Rattus norvegicus: one gene and its partner. The protein of the gene in region 1 purifies or fractionates together with the protein of each later gene. This does not show direct contact. Links are inferred from orthologs where the notes say so. Each region holds a gene or a part of one and is shown on either strand. Other genes may lie near its edges.

Evidence for each region. The genes of interacting proteins can lie anywhere in the genome.
Region 2: the proteins of Rpl11 (region 1) and Gnl2 purify together in Homo sapiens (co-immunoprecipitation; 3 studies listed by BioGRID and IntAct, with this or other methods). This does not show direct contact. The link is inferred for Rattus norvegicus from reciprocal best matches to the Homo sapiens genes RPL11 and GNL2.

Annotation. Positions count from the first base shown.
Region 1 is NC_086023.1:153,557,863-153,562,114, forward strand, and holds the start of Rpl11 (large ribosomal subunit protein uL5), read right to left. Parts: upstream 2,941-4,252; 5' UTR 2,599-2,940; coding exon of another isoform or gene 2,572-2,598; coding exon 2,448-2,571; intron 1,502-2,447; coding exon 1,395-1,501; intron 1,196-1,394; coding exon 1,064-1,195; intron 164-1,063; coding exon 53-163; intron 1-52.
Region 2 is NC_086023.1:142,584,162-142,587,807, reverse strand, and holds part of Gnl2 (nucleolar GTP-binding protein 2), read right to left. Parts: intron 2,760-3,646; coding exon 2,620-2,759; intron 1-2,619. UniProt on the Homo sapiens protein: GTPase that associates with pre-60S ribosomal subunits in the nucleolus and is required for their nuclear export and maturation.

The sequences.
Region 1 (4,252 bases):
ACCAGCCACCAGCACCACACACCACCAGTTCACTGGGGGAAATCAGCTTTACCTTCTGCTGGAACCAGCGCATGGCCTCCTCTTTGCTGATTCTGTGTTTGGCCCCAATGCAGCCTGTTCTGCGCTTCTTGTCTGCGATGCTGAAACCTGGCCTACCCAGCACCTGTGCCAGAATAACCAACAGTCATCTAGCCAGCCTAGGGCCGGGTCACCAGTGGACAGACAAGACTCACACATTAGAGACCGATCTTCAAGTCATCCAGAAACTTAACAGATTCTGAAGCAAGACCAGTACCTCTGTTGGACGGAAGTGTCGTTAGCTACCCGGACAACACACCAAGCTCTGAACACACATGCCCTGCAGGCTCCTTCCCCAACTGGTCTCCAGCCTTGTAACGTCAGTCTCAAGAGGGATCTGATTCCCTTGACCTGTTCTGGCCTCTAGGCACCAGACACACATGTAATACTAACATGCAGGGAGTTCAAGGCCAGCCTGGGCTGTAAACCAAAGACCCTGCCTCACAACAAAAACCTTCAACATGTGTAATGTGAAGAAATGTAAAGCACCCAAAGGCACAAAGGCACACTCACCCCCTTGGTTCAGAAGCTGCCCAGAGCTCTGCCGCCCTAACCGACCTCCCCCTCAGGTCTCACTTTTACGTCTGGCTCTTTGCTCTCACAGAAGCACTGTGGTAACAGAGTCATTTCCACATGAAAACCCCACTTGAGCACAGTCTGTTTCCATGTCTTCCCCACAGAACTCACGTGTGCCAGAGACTAGGGATGAGTGGAGACAGGGTAGCCAATGCCAGGGACAAAGGCAGCACAGGTTTCTCCCAGAGAGCTTTGCACAGCAGAGACCTGTCAACCCTGTGTGGTTGAACCTGTACACTTGCTAGAACAAGGCCCTTCTCTCAAGGGGGACACACAGGCAGACAAGACACAGACTTCAACCCAGCACTACATCCCAACAGCAAGACAGCATGTGCGGACAACAGACAGAGGAGCAGCAGGCCCTCTCCCCACAGGCAGCTTGGGATCAAGAAGTCCACATTCCACATACCACATAGAAATCCAGGCCATAGATGCCAATGCTTGGGTCATATTTGATGCCTAGGTCAATGTGTTCCTGAATCCCAAAGCCAAAGTTGCCGGTATCTGAGAAGTTATTCTTCCGTAATTCGTACTCTCGCACCTGAGGAGACATAAAGAGCAACCAGGTTATTCCTTGTGTTTAAAGAGCATAGTATGAGCTCAGACCAACACCCAGAAGGTCCGGAGCAAAACCAAAACTCTGTGCATCCCAGCCAGGAGAACAGGCAACCCTTCCCTTAAACCAAATCATCTCTCATCATCCATCAAATGTTCCCCACTTCCAGGCCAGCCCACCTCACCTTCAGGCCTTTCTCCAGAATCTCCTCTGCCTTGGCTCCACGGACAGTGCAGTGAACAGCGATTTTCTCATTTCTCCGGATGCCAAAGGACCTGACGGTGTATCTAGCTGCAAGAAGGGAACAGAGAGGTAGGTAACATTTTACTCCCACTGCCCGGCATCTAACGTGTTAATCAACCTCACCCACCAACACAGAACAGAGCTTTCCAGCTCTAATGTCCCCAGCCGCACTTCAGCTAAGAACATTACAATCCCCAGAGTTCATGACATTAGGCAAGTCAGAGACAAAGGTTAGCACCGTTAATACTCCTTGAGAATGTCAAATGTAGCCCAGGCTGGCCTTGACCTGGGAGCAATCTTCCTGTTTCAGTCCGGGTACAGGAGTTACAATCATAGGCTACCAGGCCTAGCTTAACATTATGCTCTATCATACAGGAACCTGCATTCAAAATCCAGAATGGGGTGTGGAAGGGACAAGCTGGGAGGTTGACATTGGTAAAAGCTAGTATTTTCAAAAGGCCGACTGTCCAGATGTCCTGAGGCTAACTAGCCCAGGCTCACCGGTGGTACTAAGAAAGGGTATCCAATCCCAACAACAGACCACCTATAACCACACTCCCAACAGACCCCATGTTTCAAGCACATTAACACCTCCCATGTGGCCACACAAGGGAATCAGAATTCATTTTAAGGAAGCTGAGGTAGAGCCTAAAGTTAAGAAGCACTGATAGGGGGCTGGAGAGGTGGCTCAGTGGTTTAAAGAGGTCCTGAGTTCAAATCCCAGCAGCACCCACATGGTGGTTCACAACCATCTATAACAACATCTCACGCCCTCTTCTGTCAAGCAAACAGAGTACTCAGATACGAACATGAATATTAAGAATAAGAACGGATAGTCTCTCACCCCAGCAGTGTAATGTATTAACCCTGTTCTTACCTGTCAACCAGGCGGAATACTACACGTCTACTCTAGCTCCCTATTCGCACTCCTGTTCCGGCTAGATGGACTGAGGCCTTCCATCCACGCCTCTCTGGCTAGCCCATCACCACTCACCTTTGGAAAACACAGGGGTCTGGCCTGTGAGCTGCTCCAACACCTTGGCTGCTCGGGTCAGTCTGTCTCCACTCTCCCCCACGCAGATATTGAGGCAGAGCTTGCGGATACGAAGTTCCCGCATGGGGTTCTCCTTTTCACCCTGATCTTGCTGCAGAAAAGAGTAAACGCAGCCGTCAAAGTCGAGAAGCCAATGTCTTCTCCAGTCTGATCTCTACGGTCCCGAATCCTATGGACTAAGGACTAAAAAGGTCTCAGTGTTTGGGGCGGAGGAGCACTGAGTAAGCCTGAATGCTAAGGCGGTCGATGTTTCTGGGTAATAGACACAAGAGCTTATAGAAAGCCAATCAGACAGGAGAGAATACAATGTAACCTTAAAATGACAAACTACAGGAAACATCGGCCTACGCGACCTGCCCTCCTCCTTCCCAAGCTGTCTGCAAGCGAGCACCAGTCCTGAGTAGGGACCCGCAGATGCTCCCCAGCACCAAACAAGCTTCAAGTCCCCTGGGCTGGGACCCGACAGAGAGCTCGGCACATTCCGCTCGCGCTCCCGGAAGCCCCCAGACCCCGCGTCTGGGCCCTCGGGGCCGCTGACCTGAGCCCCATTCCTACGATGGGCGGCGACGTGACGGGCGAGCCCTGCGCCCGCACAGCCCTGCCGGTCTTAATGCCACCAGCATCGCGGGCTCCGTCCTCCTCCAGCCACCGGCGAAACAGCCCTCGTGGGCTCCGCCGGCCGCGGATGGAGATGGATGAAAGAGAGGCAAAAGCAACTCTTGCTCTACTCACCGCCATGGTGGAGAACAGGAAGAGAGAGTGGGACTTCCGGCCCCGTGGCCTTATGGGTCAGGAGGCGGGATTTTTCTCCTAGGCTGACAAACGAGGTGAGAGTGGGAAAGAGAGGCACGGTTGTCTTGGCGCTGCCTCCTCTAGTGGATCGTCCTCGGAACTGCAGTCATCTCGGGCTAAAGACCAGGTCTTTTGAAAACCAGGTAGACTGGTATGTTCTTGAGTCCATCACTTCAAGAACAGAGTCATAGCCGTACTTTAAGTGGACCTTGGTTTGCAAAGTTCCCAGCATGTACGCTGTATTTCAAAACTGGCTGGGGTTGGGGATTTAGCTCAGTGGTAGAGCGCTTGCCTAGCAAGCGCAAGGCATCTAGGTTCGATCCCCAGCTCCGAAGGAGAAAAAAAAAAAACTGGCTGTAACTCCAGTTCCAGGGAGACAGATCCCTCTTCTGGCATCTACAGGCACCAGGTTATGCAGGCAGGCAGGCAAAACACCCATATAAATAAAAAAAAATAAGCAAAATTTTCAAAATAAGCTGAGGCTGGAGAGATGGTGCAGTAGTTAAGAGCATTGACAGCTCTTCCACAGGTCCTGAGTTCAAATCCCAGCAACCTCATGGTGGCTCACAATCAACTAAACTGATGCCCTCTTCTAGTATGCAGGTGTACATGCAGATAGAACACTCGTTTACATAAGTAAAAGGATAAACTGTACAGATTCTAGGGCATTTATTTTGTAACAATGTTAACATAGAAGTTATACTAATCAGCGTAGTGGCTTAAATCAGCTGTTACAGTCTGATGCCCTTGCCTTCCTCCCGAGGACGCCAGACACACACTTGCAAGAACACATGTGCGGGGGGAAAATTTTTCATATAGATAAACTAATAAATGCTAAATAAAATTTGAAAATAGAGTCCTGAGCTGTGAATACAGGCAGGTGTGGTTTTAATTCAACTTACTAGTTACTAATTTAAATGATTTCAGTCTGTTTTCTTTCCCCTTGTGTAAAA
Region 2 (3,646 bases), about 11 Mb from region 1:
ATTGCTTGTTTTATAAGATGCATTTTAGTTTCAGATAACATTCTCCCTAATTTAGGTAACGTTTTTATTAAATGCACATGGAAACGCTTCAGATGAAAAACATCTAGCAAAAGTCCAAAATAATAGGTTAGATGTGATAAAGGGAACCCGATCCTAACTAGAACTTGATGCGCTGTGGAGGAGTTACAGGCGTGGCAATTCTTGAAGCAGGATAAAAGTCGGAGTTGGAGTTAGGATCTACCTCATTGGAGAATGTTACAGGCTGCAGACTCTCTCCTTTAAAACAAAACAACACACACCTTTCTCTCTTAGCACAGGGCCCTGGGTAAGCCCAGCTAGGGGGCTCATGAGTGGTGGAGCAGTCACAAGCCTTCCTAGGACCTTTAGGTGGCCTCATTTACTGGGACTCCCTGAGCCCATGGCTTATATTTTCTTGCTAGTTTCTAACTGAGCAAATGTCCATCCACAAGGAAAACTGTATTTTCTGTGGCAATGGGTTCTGAAATCAATGAGTAAAAATCAACTATGACTGGGCTGGAGAGATGGCTCAGTGGGTAAAGACCCAGCTTAATCCCTGAAAGCCATGTTAAAAAAACTACACAAAAAGATGCAGTGGTGTGAATCTGTATCCCAGGAGATGAAGAGTGGGGACAAATGATACACAACCATATCAATTATACAAATCAAGGGTGAGCATATATTATCCTCAGAAATCTTCTAACTGGGCTGGAGAGAGAGCTCAACAATCAAGGACATATATTGCTCTTCCAGAGGACCTGAGTTCAATTTCCAGTACTTAAATCGCTGGGATCACAGCTGCCTGTAACAGCTCCAAACCAGGGGATCTGAAATCTCTAGCCTCCAAGGGCACTCGTACTCACATGCACAAACACATCACACACACACACACACACACACACACACACACACACACACACACACACTAAAAATCAAACCTTCAAAAAAACCTTGTAACCTATGCAACACATGGTTTTGAACCGATAAGTTTACTTTCTGTAATACTACACAATTAAAATGCACACACAAAGTTAAACTATTTTTACTCCATTCCTACAGAAATGCATTTAACACACAGAACTGAATGTGTAAAAGAACATATCTGATTTGAGTCCCCTGTGCAGAACCATTTCAGAACTAGAGTCCATACCATACCATGCCAGTCACTGGATTAAAATAAAGGGTTTTCAAAGCCAAAGCAGAAAGCCCACCAATTATTCTGAGTATTTTCCTGCATCAAAACACAAGCTGACTCCCAAACTGAGGGTTCCCTCACTTCACACATCAGATATCTGAGCAGCCAACAACTGGCGCAAGCAACAAAGCAATAAATCCACAACAGAACTCTGTTCTTCCCAGAAACGGACTCAAGGGTTGGTTAGAAGATGGCTTTAGGGAGAAGAGACAAAGAGAACAAGGGAAATGAGCAACTTGTCTGTGGCCCATGAATTACACTCATCTGTCTCCCTGAAAGGAAACAGTCACTCACTAATAGGTGCCATTCTTCAAGCCCATCATAAAACAGAACATAATTGACAAAACCTGAGGCAATAGGCAGCTTTGCTTTTGATTTTTGTTCTGCGAGTAAACACTTTTCTTTGAACTGTTTAATCCTTGTATGCATGTCAGTGTTTCCCTCCCCTCCTCGGACTGGCACTGAAGCATGTGCACTGGCTGGGTTTCTGGGAATTATTATTCAATGCAAATTTAAAATGTGCAGGCGAACGTTAAGCCACTCCTTTGTTCCGTGTGAAGTGCTTCTGCTCTGGCCAGAGTCAGCCCTTACTGTACTACAACTCCAGCAACCAACAATCGCACCAGCACCCTTTCCTGTACCTGGAAACCTCCAAGTTCAGAGTTCAGAAAACTCTGAAGGACTCCTTCCATCTCAGCCTTCACTCTACACCTCCCGGAGATGACGAACCAGCACCGACAACCCCAGGCGCTTCCTAGTCAGCCTGGCCTACTTATTAAGTTCTAGGCCAGCGAGAGAACCTGCCTCAGGAAGGGAAGGGAAAAGGGAAGGGAAGGGAAAAGGGAAGGGAAGGGAAGGGGAAAGGGAAGGGAAGGGAAAAGGGAAGGAAAAAGGGAAAAGGGAAAAGGGAAAAGGGAAGGGAAGGGAAGGAAGATAGTACCTGAGGAATGACAGTCAAGGTCTTCCTCTGGCCTCTACTTGTGTGTGGAGACACACACACACGCACACACTCACACACACGACAGTAGTTAACAGCTATCACCTCTTTAGCCATGGGCAGGATGTTGCAGGCTTCTGAGACCAAGCCCTTACAGGTGCTTCAGCTGTATGCAGACATGAGAAGAGGCAAGAGTGTTCTCTTTACAGCAAGGAAGCTAAGATTCATGGCAAGTCATAACTAAGAACAGAGAAGGGCTGAGTGAAGATGGAAAGTCCTGTTTGGATCCACACAGCGCTACACTGCACCTCCTGGACCAAACTCAATTCACAGCCAGGGTGACAAAGGAGAGCACCTAAAGCTAACAAAACCTTCAGTGCTGCTTAGGAAACAACCACAAACTAAAGCAGTGTCTGTCTGCCCAGAGCTGGCCAAGACACCGCAGCACCAACAGGGCGCGCTGTCTTACATGAGGCTGGACTCGATCGTGCAGAAGAGACATCGGTAATTTGCTTTGTTTCATCACAACTTTGTATGGATCCTTCATAACTTTATCCATTTCCTCTTGAAATTTTTGTAATGATGCCTGCTTGATCACACGAGTATTTCCTGTGTCACAGATAGAGAACATGCCATTTAGTACAGAGATTGGTTTTGCCCCTCGCTCACCTTTTGACAGGGGAAGGCAAGACACCAGGTCATTCTCAAGTCCCCCAGAGTCTACACATTCATCACTCCTTAGAACTCTCTGCAAACTTAAGGAGGAAACATGTCTCTCCTGCACTCACACACTGTGTATTCAAACACCAACTAAGACATAATGGGTTTCAACAGTTTTCAGAACCCAACTTCCTGACTGGATGAAACCAAAAATTAAACATCACTGAATGGAACCAAGATTTGACAAATGTTCCTGCCAGTCCTGGCAAAGAAACCTGGCGCCAATCCCAGCTCATCGGTTCACACAGAGAAGGAACCCCAAACCTCAGAGTTAAGAGGGCTTGAAGGGACTACTAAAGCATCCAAGACACATGCAAGAAGGCAAAAGCACCCAGAGAACGCTAGACCCTTGGATGCTGAAGACAGCATTCAAGTCAACAACAGCAGATGCAGACACAAGGGTCAAGGACTCAACACTCTCTACTTGCTGGGCACTCTGCTAAGCCCGTCACATGGATTTCTTTTTAAATTTATGACGGGGGCACCACAGCACCTGTGTGGAGCTCAGAGGACAGCCTGCAGGAGTCATTATCCCCTTTCCGCCTTCTACTCTGTAGGGTCCAGAGATAGAACCTAGGTTGTCAGGCTTGAGAGGAATGATCTCACCACTGAGCCTCCATACTGATCCTCGGTTTTTTGTTTGTTTTTGAGACAGAATTCCAAGCTGTCCAGGCTGGCCTTAAACTTCTGAGTCTCCTGCCTCCAACTCACAGGTGTTAGGATCACAGGTGTGCCCTCACCACAACCATCTTGAGACACTACCATTTGTATTCAAA